2 linked regions of the Arabidopsis thaliana genome follow. The protein of the gene in region 1 binds, or shares a complex with, the protein of each later gene. Each region holds a gene or a part of one and is shown on either strand. Other genes may lie near its edges. A codon is read from its position in the direction of its gene.

What was found. The genes of interacting proteins can lie anywhere in the genome.
Region 2: the proteins of PYL10 (region 1) and HAB1 are in contact, whole or in part, in a crystal structure (PDB 3RT0), measured with the Arabidopsis thaliana proteins. Residues at the interface, in NP_194521.2 of Arabidopsis thaliana: Pro57 (codon at 3,666), Phe58 (codon at 3,669), Ser60 (codon at 3,675), Arg61 (codon at 3,678), Asp78 (codon at 3,729), Leu79 (codon at 3,732), Lys80 (codon at 3,735), Ser81 (codon at 3,738), Gly82 (codon at 3,741), Leu83 (codon at 3,744), Pro84 (codon at 3,747), Ala85 (codon at 3,750), Thr86 (codon at 3,753), Arg112 (codon at 3,831), Leu113 (codon at 3,834), Pro144 (codon at 4,013), Asn147 (codon at 4,022), Glu151 (codon at 4,034), Thr152 (codon at 4,037), Phe154 (codon at 4,043), Phe155 (codon at 4,046), Ala158 (codon at 4,055), Leu159 (codon at 4,058), Asn165 (codon at 4,076); in NP_001185385.1 of Arabidopsis thaliana: Arg199, Ser200, Glu201, Glu203, Gly244, His245, Gly246, Gly247, Glu323, Thr324, Lys381, Ile383, Gln384, Trp385, Gln386, Arg389, Phe391, Gly392, Val393, Leu394, Tyr404.

What each region holds. Positions count from the first base shown.
Region 1 is NC_003075.7:13,897,805-13,903,078, forward strand, and holds PYL10 (PYR1-like 10), read left to right. Parts: upstream 1-3,337; 5' UTR 3,338-3,415; coding exon 3,416-3,538; intron 3,539-3,620; coding exon 3,621-3,839; intron 3,840-3,925; coding exon 3,926-4,135; 3' UTR 4,136-4,196; downstream 4,197-5,274. Other genes in the region: SDG16 (SET domain protein 16), read left to right, coding at 64-188, 288-433, 538-642, 887-951, 1,044-1,254, 1,338-1,424, 1,510-1,569, 1,663-1,752 and 4 more. UniProt on the Arabidopsis thaliana protein: Receptor for abscisic acid (ABA) required for ABA-mediated responses such as stomatal closure and germination inhibition.
Region 2 is NC_003070.9:27,387,709-27,395,092, reverse strand, and holds HAB1 (HYPERSENSITIVE TO ABA1), read right to left. Parts: upstream 5,146-7,384; 5' UTR 4,846-5,145; intron 4,455-4,845; 5' UTR 4,096-4,454; coding exon 3,349-4,095; intron 3,238-3,348; coding exon 2,890-3,237; intron 2,806-2,889; coding exon 2,700-2,805; coding exon of another isoform or gene 2,680-2,699; exon of another isoform or gene 2,577-2,679; coding exon 2,242-2,576; 3' UTR 1,766-2,241; downstream 1-1,765. Other genes in the region: AT1G72790 (hydroxyproline-rich glycoprotein family protein), read right to left, coding at 1-245; AT1G72760 (Protein kinase superfamily protein), read left to right, coding at 6,792-6,972, 7,052-7,143, 7,245-7,369. UniProt on the Arabidopsis thaliana protein: Key component and repressor of the abscisic acid (ABA) signaling pathway that regulates numerous ABA responses, such as stomatal closure, seed germination and inhibition of vegetative growth. Confers enhanced sensitivity to drought.

The DNA of each region.
Region 1 (5,274 bases):
TATCATCCATTATCATTGTTTCATAAGCAACTTAGATAAATGTTTCTTTCATTTTCTTGTCAGATGCCAAATAGCAGTGCATCAGGAATGCTATGGCGCTAGACATGTTCGTGATTTCACCTCATGGGTCTGTAAAGCATGCGAGAGACCAGATATCAAGCGGGAGTGTTGCCTCTGCCCTGTAAAAGGTGGCTTTATAAAGTATATTCAGCTTTTTCACATAAACATATGGCACCACTGCCTATTAACTATATCCATTGGCTCCGCTATGTTGTCACTGATGATAGGAGGTGCATTGAAGCCAACTGATGTGGAAACGTTGTGGGTTCATGTGACATGTGCTTGGTTTCAGCCTGAAGTATGTTTTGCAAGTGAGGAAAAAATGGAACCTGCAGTTGGGATTTTGAGTATTCCATCAACTAATTTTGTGAAGGTAAATTTAATATTAACTTATTGTCTTTAATTTTGGACCTTTCCATAACTGTCTGCGACCAAAGCTAAATTGCATGAAATCTTCTTCGTTTTGATGGATTTCAGATATGTGTAATATGCAAACAAATACATGGCTCGTGTACTCAGTGTTGCAAGTGTTCTACATACTATCATGCCATGTGTGCCTCCCGAGCTGGTTATAGAATGGAGGTATGCTTACTGTTTGACTGTTTCTGATCTTTCTTCATGAGATCAGACGACACTGACTTTTTCTATACATGCTTTTGAACTAACTGGAACGATCTTTTTTATATAGTCGTATAAAGTGAAACTGGTTTCCGATAGATAATGTGTTTTTAATCTTTACTTAAAGGAACTTGAGTTTTTTTTTTCCTTTGCAATTTATTATCTTACTCCATTTAAATAGGCATATTTCCATGCATTTTGTATGTAGTTGCACTGCTTGGAGAAAAATGGTCAGCAGATAACAAAGATGGTGTCCTATTGTGCTTATCACAGGTGAAATTTCTCAGAACTCTGCTTAAAGAATTTTTGGTGTTACGATGTTGGTTTATGATTTATAAGTTTTATCTATTGTTTTTGGTGTGTAGGGCTCCCAACCCAGATAACGTGTTAATTATACAAACTCCTTCAGGAGCCTTCTCTGCAAAGAGTCTTGTCCAAAACAAGAAGAAAGGTGGTTCCAGGCTTATTTCATTAATCAGAGAAGACGATGAAGCACCTGCAGAGAATACCATTACATGTGATCCATTTTCTGCTGCTCGTTGTCGAGTATTTAAAAGAAAGATCAATAGCAAGAAGGTAATATTGGGTCTTATCCACAAAAAGTCTGTATGTTTCGTTGCACATCTCCTTTGTCCAGTAGGCTGATCTTTGTTTTGTAGAGGATTGAAGAAGAAGCCATTCCTCACCACACAAGGGGACCACGCCATCATGCATCAGCAGCAATCCAAACTTTAAACACATTCAGAGTAAGAAAGTCTCCATGCAGTTCTTCTACTCCGTTTCTTACTATTATTTTTTGGATCTGACATTTCTGGGTTGTATTATGTGTAGCATGTGCCAGAAGAACCCAAATCGTTTTCTTCTTTCAGGGAACGACTTCACCACTTGCAGGCAAGAATTCTCTGATGTTTGAACGAGATTGGAATGTTCAGGTTTTATTTTTTGATATTATCGGCTGTAACATGTGTATGTTTAATGTAACAGAGGACAGAAATGGATCGGGTCTGCTTTGGGCGATCTGGAATTCATGGATGGGGTCTTTTTGCAAGAAGAAATATCCAAGAAGGAGAAATGGTATGTCAGCAGACCCATTTGTGATATTGTGTTTGGTCTATTTGGGATGAGGGGAGTGTTTATTGTCGAGAGGTGCTATTGTATTTCAGGTTCTTGAATACAGAGGGGAACAGGTGAGAGGTAGCATTGCAGACTTGAGAGAAGCACGTTATCGCAGAGTAGGAAAGGATTGCTATGTGAGTTGAAAAAGTTTCCATTTTATCTTCACAAATTGTCTCTTCTCTCTCTATCTCTCTTAACCAAAAGAAGGATTTATGTTGCAGCTTTTCAAGATCAGTGAAGAAGTAGTGGTTGATGCTACAGATAAAGGGAATATAGCTCGGCTCATCAATCATTCGGTAAGCTGCTTGGCATGGACTTTTTACGTACAAGAAATTTGACAGACTGTTAAAGCCTAAATCAAAATACGTGGTGTGTAGTGTACACCAAACTGCTATGCGAGGATTATGAGTGTAGGAGATGAGGAAAGCAGGATTGTCCTGATAGCCAAGGCCAATGTAGCTGTGGGAGAGGAGTTAACGTACACAACGCATTTCTATATATACCATTCTTCAATCTAAAGCTGATTGATTGTCATAGTTTAAGAAATGTTGTGTGGTGTTTTGGCAGGTATGATTACTTATTTGATCCAGACGAGGCAGAGGAACTCAAGGTGCCATGCTTATGTAAAGCCCCTAACTGCAGGAAATTCATGAATTAGAATAGAAAGGTATAGATCCTCTAAGTTTACTTCACAGGCTACAACACCAAGAAGAAAAGGCCAAAGCAAGATTGTCTCTTTTTGCTCCAAAAACAATAGATTTATAGGTAGAGAGAAAAGCTAAGTGATCCAAGTCTGATCTCTTCTGCCTCTCTGTATAGACAAACTCGTTTGTGTCACCATTATCCTCAAAAGAATTCAATTTCATTCATTTTGTTCATTTCAACGAGACTTGAGCAGAAAACTTGGGATAATTCCAACTGTTGTGACCGTTTTACCCTATAACCATCGGTTTACTACGGTTATACCGCGAAGGTGATGAGTCAATTCAATTGGGAATTGATTTTCCTTTCGCGCCGGTTTATGAATCGTGCTTTCGTCAAGTGCCATGTCAGACGAATTGTAGTTTGCTGCTGATAAAAGATCTCGTAATGGTTTTCTTAAAACACTTTTAAGCGTTTTTGACGGCCCAATTGATGCGAATATGGATTGACTCTTATCTATACTTCAGATATGTTCAAAGCCACACAAGGTAAATTGCATAACGGATAACAATTCCCATAAGAAAAAATGTTTCGGTGTCAAACTGTATATGAGCAATTCTGAAACATTCTAAAGATTTTGTGGTTATGTGTTAAACTTAAAGCATTTGATAGAGAGATATTTTTCAAAGAAATAGGAAAAAATAATGTTACAATCCTCCACATTAATGTTTACAATCCGTCCATCTGTACTTGACATGTCGGATCATAATCCAAGATAATGGGAATACAGATATAAGTTAAAAATGAATTCACTCATAGAAACTTGGAAGGCTATATTCGTCAATATAAAAGAGCATCCTTTAAATAGCTGCACACTGGTACAGTGGTTCTACTATTGAGTGAAAAAAAAAAAAAACTAAAGGCACGAATAATTTTTGTCTAATCAAAATTATTTAAATTGCTGCTATTTAAGATAACGATGAACGGTGACGAAACAAAGAAGGTGGAGAGCGAGTACATCAAGAAACACCATAGACACGAGCTTGTAGAGTCTCAATGTAGCTCTACGCTCGTTAAGCACATCAAAGCTCCTCTGCATCTCGTAAGCTTTGCTTTGCTCTGTTTTTCAAGTGTTAAAGATAACGATTTTTGAGATGTTAAATGATTTGTTTTGTTTGGAAAAGGTGTGGTCAATTGTGAGGAGATTCGATGAACCACAAAAATACAAACCATTTATCAGTAGGTGTGTGGTACAAGGTAAGAAGCTGGAGGTTGGTAGCGTAAGAGAAGTGGATTTGAAATCTGGATTACCAGCTACTAAAAGCACTGAGGTATTAGAGATTCTTGACGACAATGAGCATATTCTCGGCATCAGAATAGTTGGTGGTGATCATAGACTCAAGGTAAATTGAAATTTCCTTAAATGTACCATTCATTCCGACAAGATTATTGTTTTTTTTAGAGCTTAATTTGTTATTTGTCCAATCAGAATTATTCTTCAACCATTTCGTTACATTCGGAGACGATAGACGGAAAAACAGGGACATTGGCTATAGAATCGTTCGTGGTGGATGTGCCGGAAGGTAACACAAAGGAGGAGACATGCTTCTTCGTGGAGGCTTTGATTCAATGCAATCTCAATTCTTTAGCAGATGTTACCGAGCGTCTACAAGCAGAATCTATGGAGAAGAAGATATGAGATGTGACTTGAGAATCTTTTCATTCGGAAAAGAAGGAAAAAGACCAAAGAAGAGAAATAACTCTTCCCTTTTATAGCAATGTCTATGTTTTTTCTTCTTCTATTTCCATTTTCTGAATGTTTGTATATTATTGGAAGTTTGTAACGAAATGATTTCGAATAGCTGTCAAACGAGAAATATAAATTCAAATTTGTAAGTGTTTATATGAAATGCTTTTTTATTTTTAACATTTCCACATGAAAATATAAATAACATATCATGACACATGCAAAATCATATTTATGAAAGTTTTTTCAACTCTCTCCATTTTTTCGACATATCAGCATTAGATAGAGTGACACTTATCACATCAACATATGAATTACATTTCTTATTTAATTTAATGTATTTAAGAATTTATAATCATGCATTAATTCTTTCTAAATTTTTTGACATGTTTGAACTTATTAATTAAATAATTTCAATTTAATTAGGTACAAAGTATATCAAACTCACATAAATAACTTATTTAAATTAAATTATATAAATCGTATAAACTTATGTATAAACATAAAATTAATAGAATTTTAATGAACTTTTAGATTTGATTAAAGTATAAAAATTAAATAATATGATATAAGAATTTATTTCATGTTTTCATATACTAATATATATATATATATATATATATATAAAAGATTAATAACAATTGATATTAGTTAAATTTACGGTTTAGTTTAAGGTAAACCCAAGATGCTCTCATCTGGAATTCTGTTATGATCTGTACGTCCTCAAAGTTCCAGAGATGTTGAGAAAGATCAAACATCAGCAGCGTCAGAGGCTTTTTCTCTGGAGAGGTGATGTTGAATGGCTCTATGCGCTGCTCGGAGAGCAAAAGAGTCTTGAAGAAGACTCTAGCAAATCCATATTGGCATCTAAGCTTGATCTTTGTGTTCCTGTTATGAAACACAGAATCTAGACTGAGACTGAAGTTGGATACCTCAGCTTTGGGATGGAGAATACCGGAACTCTTGGCCGGAGTAAGAGGATGGAAAGCATGCTGAAGATGAGCAAGAGCGTTCCAAGAAAGACTATGACGAAGAAAACAAATCAGAAATATACTAAGTATGAGTTGTTTCAAAGAACGTAGTAATGGTTT
Region 2 (7,384 bases), on another chromosome or scaffold:
AGAACGAAGTTGAGATAATCCCAGCTTTTACGGACTAAATGAGGTCGGAAAATCTGAGAAACAGAGGAGAAGAAAGGAGGGATAATGAAGACGACTATGAGGATTGCAGCTGTTCCGGCGAAGAATATTTGAGTGGCGATGGTGGTTGTACGGCCACCGAGACTTGCAGTGCGGCGGAAGTAAGTGTTATTGCGGCGTGATTGAAGCCAAAACGGCGTAGACGCGTCTCCATCATCTTCTTCCATACTCTTTCTATTATTTGGCTTTTGATTAGAAAGACAACTTTTAGTTTAAGAGTGGTTGGCTTACGATGCTGTAATGTGTTTGCTTTTATGCTTTTGCTTGGATTGATATTTGTTTTTTAAAATGCTTGGGGACTTGGATTTGGTCATTTTTATTTGTTTTTTTTTCTTTCTGTGGATTCTTACTTTAATTTACACATTTTTTACAACAAAAAATATGTCTTTGGAGTATTTTAGAGATTTTTTATAGGAGACAAGCAATCGGATAATTGACGTATTTAGTTGAATATCTATGTCAAATTCATCAATTTGCATATATATTTATTTATTACATGAAAATACATTGCGCATTTTACGTAGAGGATATCTGAATTAATTGTATAATGTTCAAATATGTACTAGTTGACTATATACAACTTTACTCGGTACATCTGACCAGTTCTTGAGTTTGAGTCTCGGCAACACAACAGTATCTAACTCCCTAGTCCTAAATGTATGTTTCACAATGATTAGTTGTATAGATAGATATTGCAATTTTCACAAACTATCCATATTACCTGATAATTTGATGTCCACAAACTCTGAAAATCTTACATTTTTTTAATTCTGAATTTTGAACTTGTAAAGAAAAAGGTTCTAGTATCTTAACCATACTCTAGACAAATGACATTTACACCCAAATTTTTTTTTTATAGAATTGTCAAATCTTGATCTTTTAAAATCCGAACCAAACTTTGGTCATACGGTCATGCCTAAGAGAAGGTTCAATTGACACATGATTTTTTTGGGGGAATTTTTTATTTTTATTTTAATAACTTGTTAGACAAGCTGGAAAATGGTGGTATTTGCTTGTGAAAGTTGGAAATGGGAAATACAAAGAAAGGCCTACTAATACAGCTGGATTACATGAAGCAAATACAGATTGGTACGTCAAATAATCAAAATTGTTCAACGGAATCATATGTCTAACGTGTTAATAAACACGTTTTCTATGTGAAGCTGAGGCCGTGATTACTAATTAGTCTTTTAATAATTATATGAGAGCCGGTGTTGTCGTGGCTTTTACAAATGGCCAGGCCAAACCGTCAAAGGCAACATACTATAATCTAATCAAGTCTTGTTATCTTGATAACTTATCTAAAAACGATAAACTTTCTCTCACAAGCTAGATTTTATGTGGTGCCAATGATTAACAGCTTTCTAAGTTTGATTTAAATACACTTACGGTTTCACACGTCACTTCCACATTTGTAGGTATGAGGTTGATTTCTATTTCTACTCAATTTAAGAAAAGAAATATTAACATTTCGTAAAGACTCTAAAATGTTAGATGATTAAGGTAAGTTATGGAAAATGTGATGATAACAGAAAAAAAAATGAAAAACGTGAACGGCAGGATTCGAACCTGCGCGGGCAAAGCCCACATGATTTCTAGTCATGCCCGATAACCACTCCGGCACGTCCACCTTTTGCTAAGTGTATTGCTTTATCAATACTTAACATCAAAATAAAAATCGACCTGTGGTTAAACCCCCAATAAACTCTCATCTCACCGTTAAGTTATAGAACAGCGAAGAACACAACATGAAAAGACAAATGCAAGAAGGTTAATGTGACATAGTTTCAATTACAATTTCATTTGCCACATCTCTCAAACTATTACAACATATTCAACTATTTCAATACCCCAAAAAAAAAAAGCATTTCTCTGCCTATTTCTTCTTATACATACGAATTCAAGTACCATGAGAAAAAAAGGAATGTACTTATAATTAGCTATGCATCATCTTCTTAATCTTCAGTCTTTAGTCTTTACTTCTCCTCCCCAACCCGCATTTCCATTTTTTTTCTTTATTTTTTCTCCCTTCTAACAATATTGAGTAATTAACATGTAAAAACCTGTCGAAATTAGATCCTTAACGATCTAAATTATACGAAAACTCGAAACTTACCCCCAGTAAAAAAAAAAGTAAGTAAGCGTACTGCTTGTAATTAAGCTTCAGGTTCTGGTCTTGAACTTTCTTTGAGCTTTCAAGTCAATCACAATGATGGAGATGTTGTCTTTACTTCCTTTTTGTAGAGCAAGCATTGAGAGGTAGTCAGCTGCGGCTTGGCAAGCTGGATCTATTCCTTTGCCTCTCTCTGCTAGAGGCGGTGCACCGTTCTTCTTGTGCCACATCAATATCCGTCTCCTTGCTATTTCGCAGACTTCTTGGTTGTTCATTACATCCCAAAGACCGTCACTGGCTAGTATGAGACACTCGTCTTCTCTTGACCGAGGCATGAATGTCACTTCCGGTTCTGGGATCACATATGGCTTCAGATATCTGTCACCTGCATAGTTCCAGAGGAGGAAAGAAACCGGAGGATCTAATGTTTCATGTAGGGGAGTAATTACATTATCAAGCCACGTTTGTGTGATGTGCATTACTGGTCATCAAAAGAAGCAATGCTTACCGATGGACCTAGACATGGCGAGAACACCAAAAACACGTGCGCCTTGCCATTGTATAACTTTGCCTCCAGCATTTTCTATTCTTGCATATTCATCCTCTCTATCTGGCTGCAGAAAAATGGAAGGAGGTAAGAAAACACTTTTATCAACTTTGTAAGTTAGATTGGGGAAAGAAAAGGAAGTTCATTTTACTTTGTGATCAACTGACAAGGGCATGGCTTCTTTGCCACGGAATAAAACCGCCCTCGAATCACCGCAGTTAGAAACTACTATATGTGATGAGCAAACCAAGGCAACAACAGCAGTTGATCCTACGGTCTCAGACGCAACAGCCTCAAGAACCTTATCAGAAGAACCAACAACGGCTCTACCAATTTTTCCTTCAATCTCACCATCGACAGTTAGAAAACAACTCGTGAAGACTTTATCCCACTGCACCTGCCTACCCTCTCCTGTATTCCTCTTGCATAATTCGTCTTTTATACGTTCTATTTCTTCAGCCAAAGCAAAATGGAGTCTATCTCGGCAATAGTCAGCAACCTACAAGCCATTGTAGATTTAAAATCTATGAATTTAACCAGAACATCTCAAAGAGGTGTATAACAATCTACATTGCTAAAACAACTTACATAAAATGTGAATATAGCATACCTTATGGCCTCCATGACCATCATAAACACCGAAAAAATGACCGGTGAGGTGTGTGAGGCTTGGACTCATACCCTCATGGTCCCCCATAAGCATTTTGATGGGTAGTTTCAGAAAATGAGGTGACACGGCAAAAGCATCCTCCATCTCAGATCTATTCCCTTGAATGGAAACCGTGCCCCAAAGCGGTATACAATCTAGTTCATAAACACTTCTCCCTTTCACCAGATGATTACTATTTTCATCTGGCAATCTAATGACAACCTCCGAAGTATTGGTATCCTGATTTACACCCGCGATAAGAACTTCCGCGGTGGGAACCTGCTCAATGCTTGATTCGCCTACGATAATCGCGGTTGCAAGAACTCGCCCGTTATCTATTTCCATAGCTGTATTAGACAAGCTTAATTCAGAGCCTGCATCAACAACTAACAAGCCCTCACTTATGACAGCACTATTATCCTCCACAACAGACAATACATCGTCTTCATCAAAAACATTGGAAGACCCGCTTCTCGTATCGGATAAAGTTTTCAACAAATCCTGTTCACCTACCTCTTCCAGTTCAGAAACATCTTCCATAGTGCATTCAGTCCCTCCGTTGCAAAAGCTTTGATTTTCAGAATCAGATAACAAGTCAGCTGCATCAGTAACGTTCTTTAGCTGAGTGATCTCGACAGGTGATGATTCACACATGGTGTTGGCTGCTAAGCTAAGAGTCATTGCAACTGCGGGAGTCATCTCCTCCATGAGCTCTCCAAAATCAGAGATTTCCACACCACACCACAACAAAGCTTTAAATTTCAAAGATGGACTTAGGAGAAATCAATTGTTTTCATCTTCTTCTTCGAATACTCTAAGCAATGGTTTCATGATGTTGAAGAATCCTTGCTCCAAATAAGTTTTTGTCAGCGACCCAAATGCCGCTTTATTCATACACTAACTTAGCATAGTTAAAACGACGAATCAAGGAGAATTAAGTACCGGAGATAACCAGATCTGACGAATCTATACGACGAATTCTCCTCACTCGATTATATCACTCTCTTGATCCCAAAATCGCAACAACTTCGTCGATCTTTTCTCAAATCCTTATCTTGATTTCAACCCTATTGAGAGATCACAAAGCACTAATCAAAAACTCACGAATCATTATCCAAACGGTCATGTCAAAGAAAATTCACACAAAAACCAGAAAAAGGAGGGAAAATCAGCGAAATCAATCACAAGAAAGCCCTAAAAAATTCGAACCATTAACGTCCATAATCATATAGTAGAACATGGGTTTCCTTGGATCTAAATTAAAAAAGAAGCTTTAGCTTTACCCAGAAATAGAAAGATGAATTTAAACTTTGTTCTTAAGCAAAACTAAACACAAAGCTCAAAACAACAAGAGAGATTCGACACATAATAGCAAAAATCTTCCGATTGAAAAGCTAACTACACAGAAAAACAACATAAAAAAATCAGGAAAGAAAAAAGAAGAGAGAAAGAACTAACCAGTTGATGAATCTTTAGAAGATATTCGCATCTGCAAAAAAATTAAAATCGAACAGAAGAGAGAGAGAGAACAAAAGTAAAGATGTTCTTCTTCTTCTTCTTCTTTTTATTTTCTTCCCTCAGGATTATTTCTCGCTCGAGCTAAATTGCTTAGAGAGAGGCTCTCTCTATCAGCGAAACAAAGAGAGAGAGAAGAGAATATTGTGTGGTTTGCTTTTTCTCTCTGTTTTTTTTTATTCCTTTTTTTCTTTGGTTTTGTAATATAATTTATAGGAAAAAAGAGTATTTATTACAAAAGAGGATTAATAAAAGGACACGTATTAGTCTTTGTATCATTTTGTGAACTTTGTCCTCTTTTTTTCTTCAACTTTTTGTCCTTTTTCTTTTTTTAAGGTCGCTTCAGGCAACACCTGTCGATCAGCTAACAACAACAGATGTTATTTAATTCCTTTTTTTCCCATTTATTTATTTTCAGAACCAAAAATATGTTTACAAATGGAAATTGATTTCTTTCTCTTTCCTTTTTTTAAAAAAAAAATATATCATAAAAATTTATATAAAGTAGAAAAACACTAATTATTTCCATAAAATTTTGACATGTAATATTAACCACGAAAATTAGATATAGATAAGTGAGTATCTTAGTTGTACAATCTGACGTGTAGATAAGTGAGTATCTTAGTTGTAATTTGTATTTGATATAACTGTAAAATGAATAAATTGTATTAATAGGATCAATGAAATCTTGACACGTAATATATTGGTTCAGCAAAAATTTCCCATATATTTTATTTAAACTGATCAAGTTTTAGTTTTGAAAGCTATGAGTAAGAAATAAAGATTGGTTTTATAGTTACGAACTTGTCTATAGAACTCTCTAGGTAAGAAAGAATAACACAAAATTATTGTTATCAGTAAGAATGAATCAGCCTAAAAAAATAAAAATATTTATGTATACTTTTCGATAACGTTAAAGTACAAGTTCTCACAATCAGTGTTTAATGGAATCGTCTTAAGAGTAATAATCTTTCGAGAGACGTATAAGATATGGTGATATCGCCAAGAAGAAATAAAGATGGAAGACGACAGCCCCAGAAAATTATATTATTTGGTCGTTTACCTTTTTTTCTTTGTTCTTTTTGGATACGTAAATCAAAAAATGCAACGTGTGTTTGTTTTTTTCCAAGTCAATAATCGCAATAATTTCGATTTCTACCACCCGCCCACGTGGCTACTCTGATTGATCAGGGACGAAAATAATAAATATTTTGTTACACCTCTAGATTTTGTACTCATAAATTTCAAATTCGTAGATACATATATTGCTGTTGCATTATTATCGAAACTCAAATTAAGTAAATGTGTGTAAATTGAGATGTGTGATCATGTTTAAACATAACATTCTATTCTCTAGTCTATTTTACTCTCTTTTTTGGTTCAACCTCTAGTCTATATAAACCTAAAAGACTAAACCATATGTTTGACTAGTTTTACTAATATTTTTATCTAAAAACTTTGTTTTACTGATTAAGATAAAATAATCGATTTAATATTTTGATAATGTATAATCGAATTTTATTTTAATCGAAACGCGTACATTATAGTACAAACTAGATCTCACCAGCAACTTCCCAAAAATCACTCTCTAATTAAAGATAAGTTGAGACTTGTGGAAATTTCCATTCTTGTTTGTTTGTTTCACAAGACTGTTGAGTTGTTTGAGAAATAAACCCTCCAAAATTAGAAAAATTGTAAAACCACTAAAAGCTTCATCATCTCACAATACAATTTTCTGTTTCTTTTCATTGTTCATTGTTTCTTCTCTGAGGTTGCAAAGCCAGACAAAAGAAAAACAACACAATCGATCTTGGTTGTGGGTGTTTTGTGACAAAGAAGACATGAGATCATTTATGAGTATTATAGTTTCCTTGTGAAGCAGGTTATTCATGTTTCTTGGGAAGCAAGATTCTAACATGTCTGCAAGAAGAGTTAGAAGGACCTCGGAGGACTATGGCAGTATCACGGCGATCGCCATTGATAAGGACAAGAACAGCCAACACGCCTTGAAATGGGCCGTTGAAAATATTGTTGCTGATGCTCCACAATGTGTCCTTATCCACGTTCAACGTAAGCATCTCTCGCTCTTCTCTTCATCATTGAAACCAAAACGTCAAAGAGCCACCCTAATTAGGAGTATGTTTTGCAGTAGGAGACACAGGAGGACATTTTCATCAGGACAATCCGGACGAGGCACATGAATTCTTTCTTCCTTTCAGAGGATTCTGCGCTCGAAAAGGAGTTAGTATTAATCGATCATTTCCAATCTCCTTGCAACAACATTTCACACTTATAATGCATCAAATATGATCATGACATTCTTGTATATACACACTTTTCAGATCATAGCAAAAGAGGTTATTCTTCATGATATTGACATCTCCAATGCTATTGTCAACTACATCACCAACAATTATTACATTGCAAATCTTGTTGTTGGCGCATCTGCACGCAATTCCTTCCTTAAGTCTCTCTCCTCTTC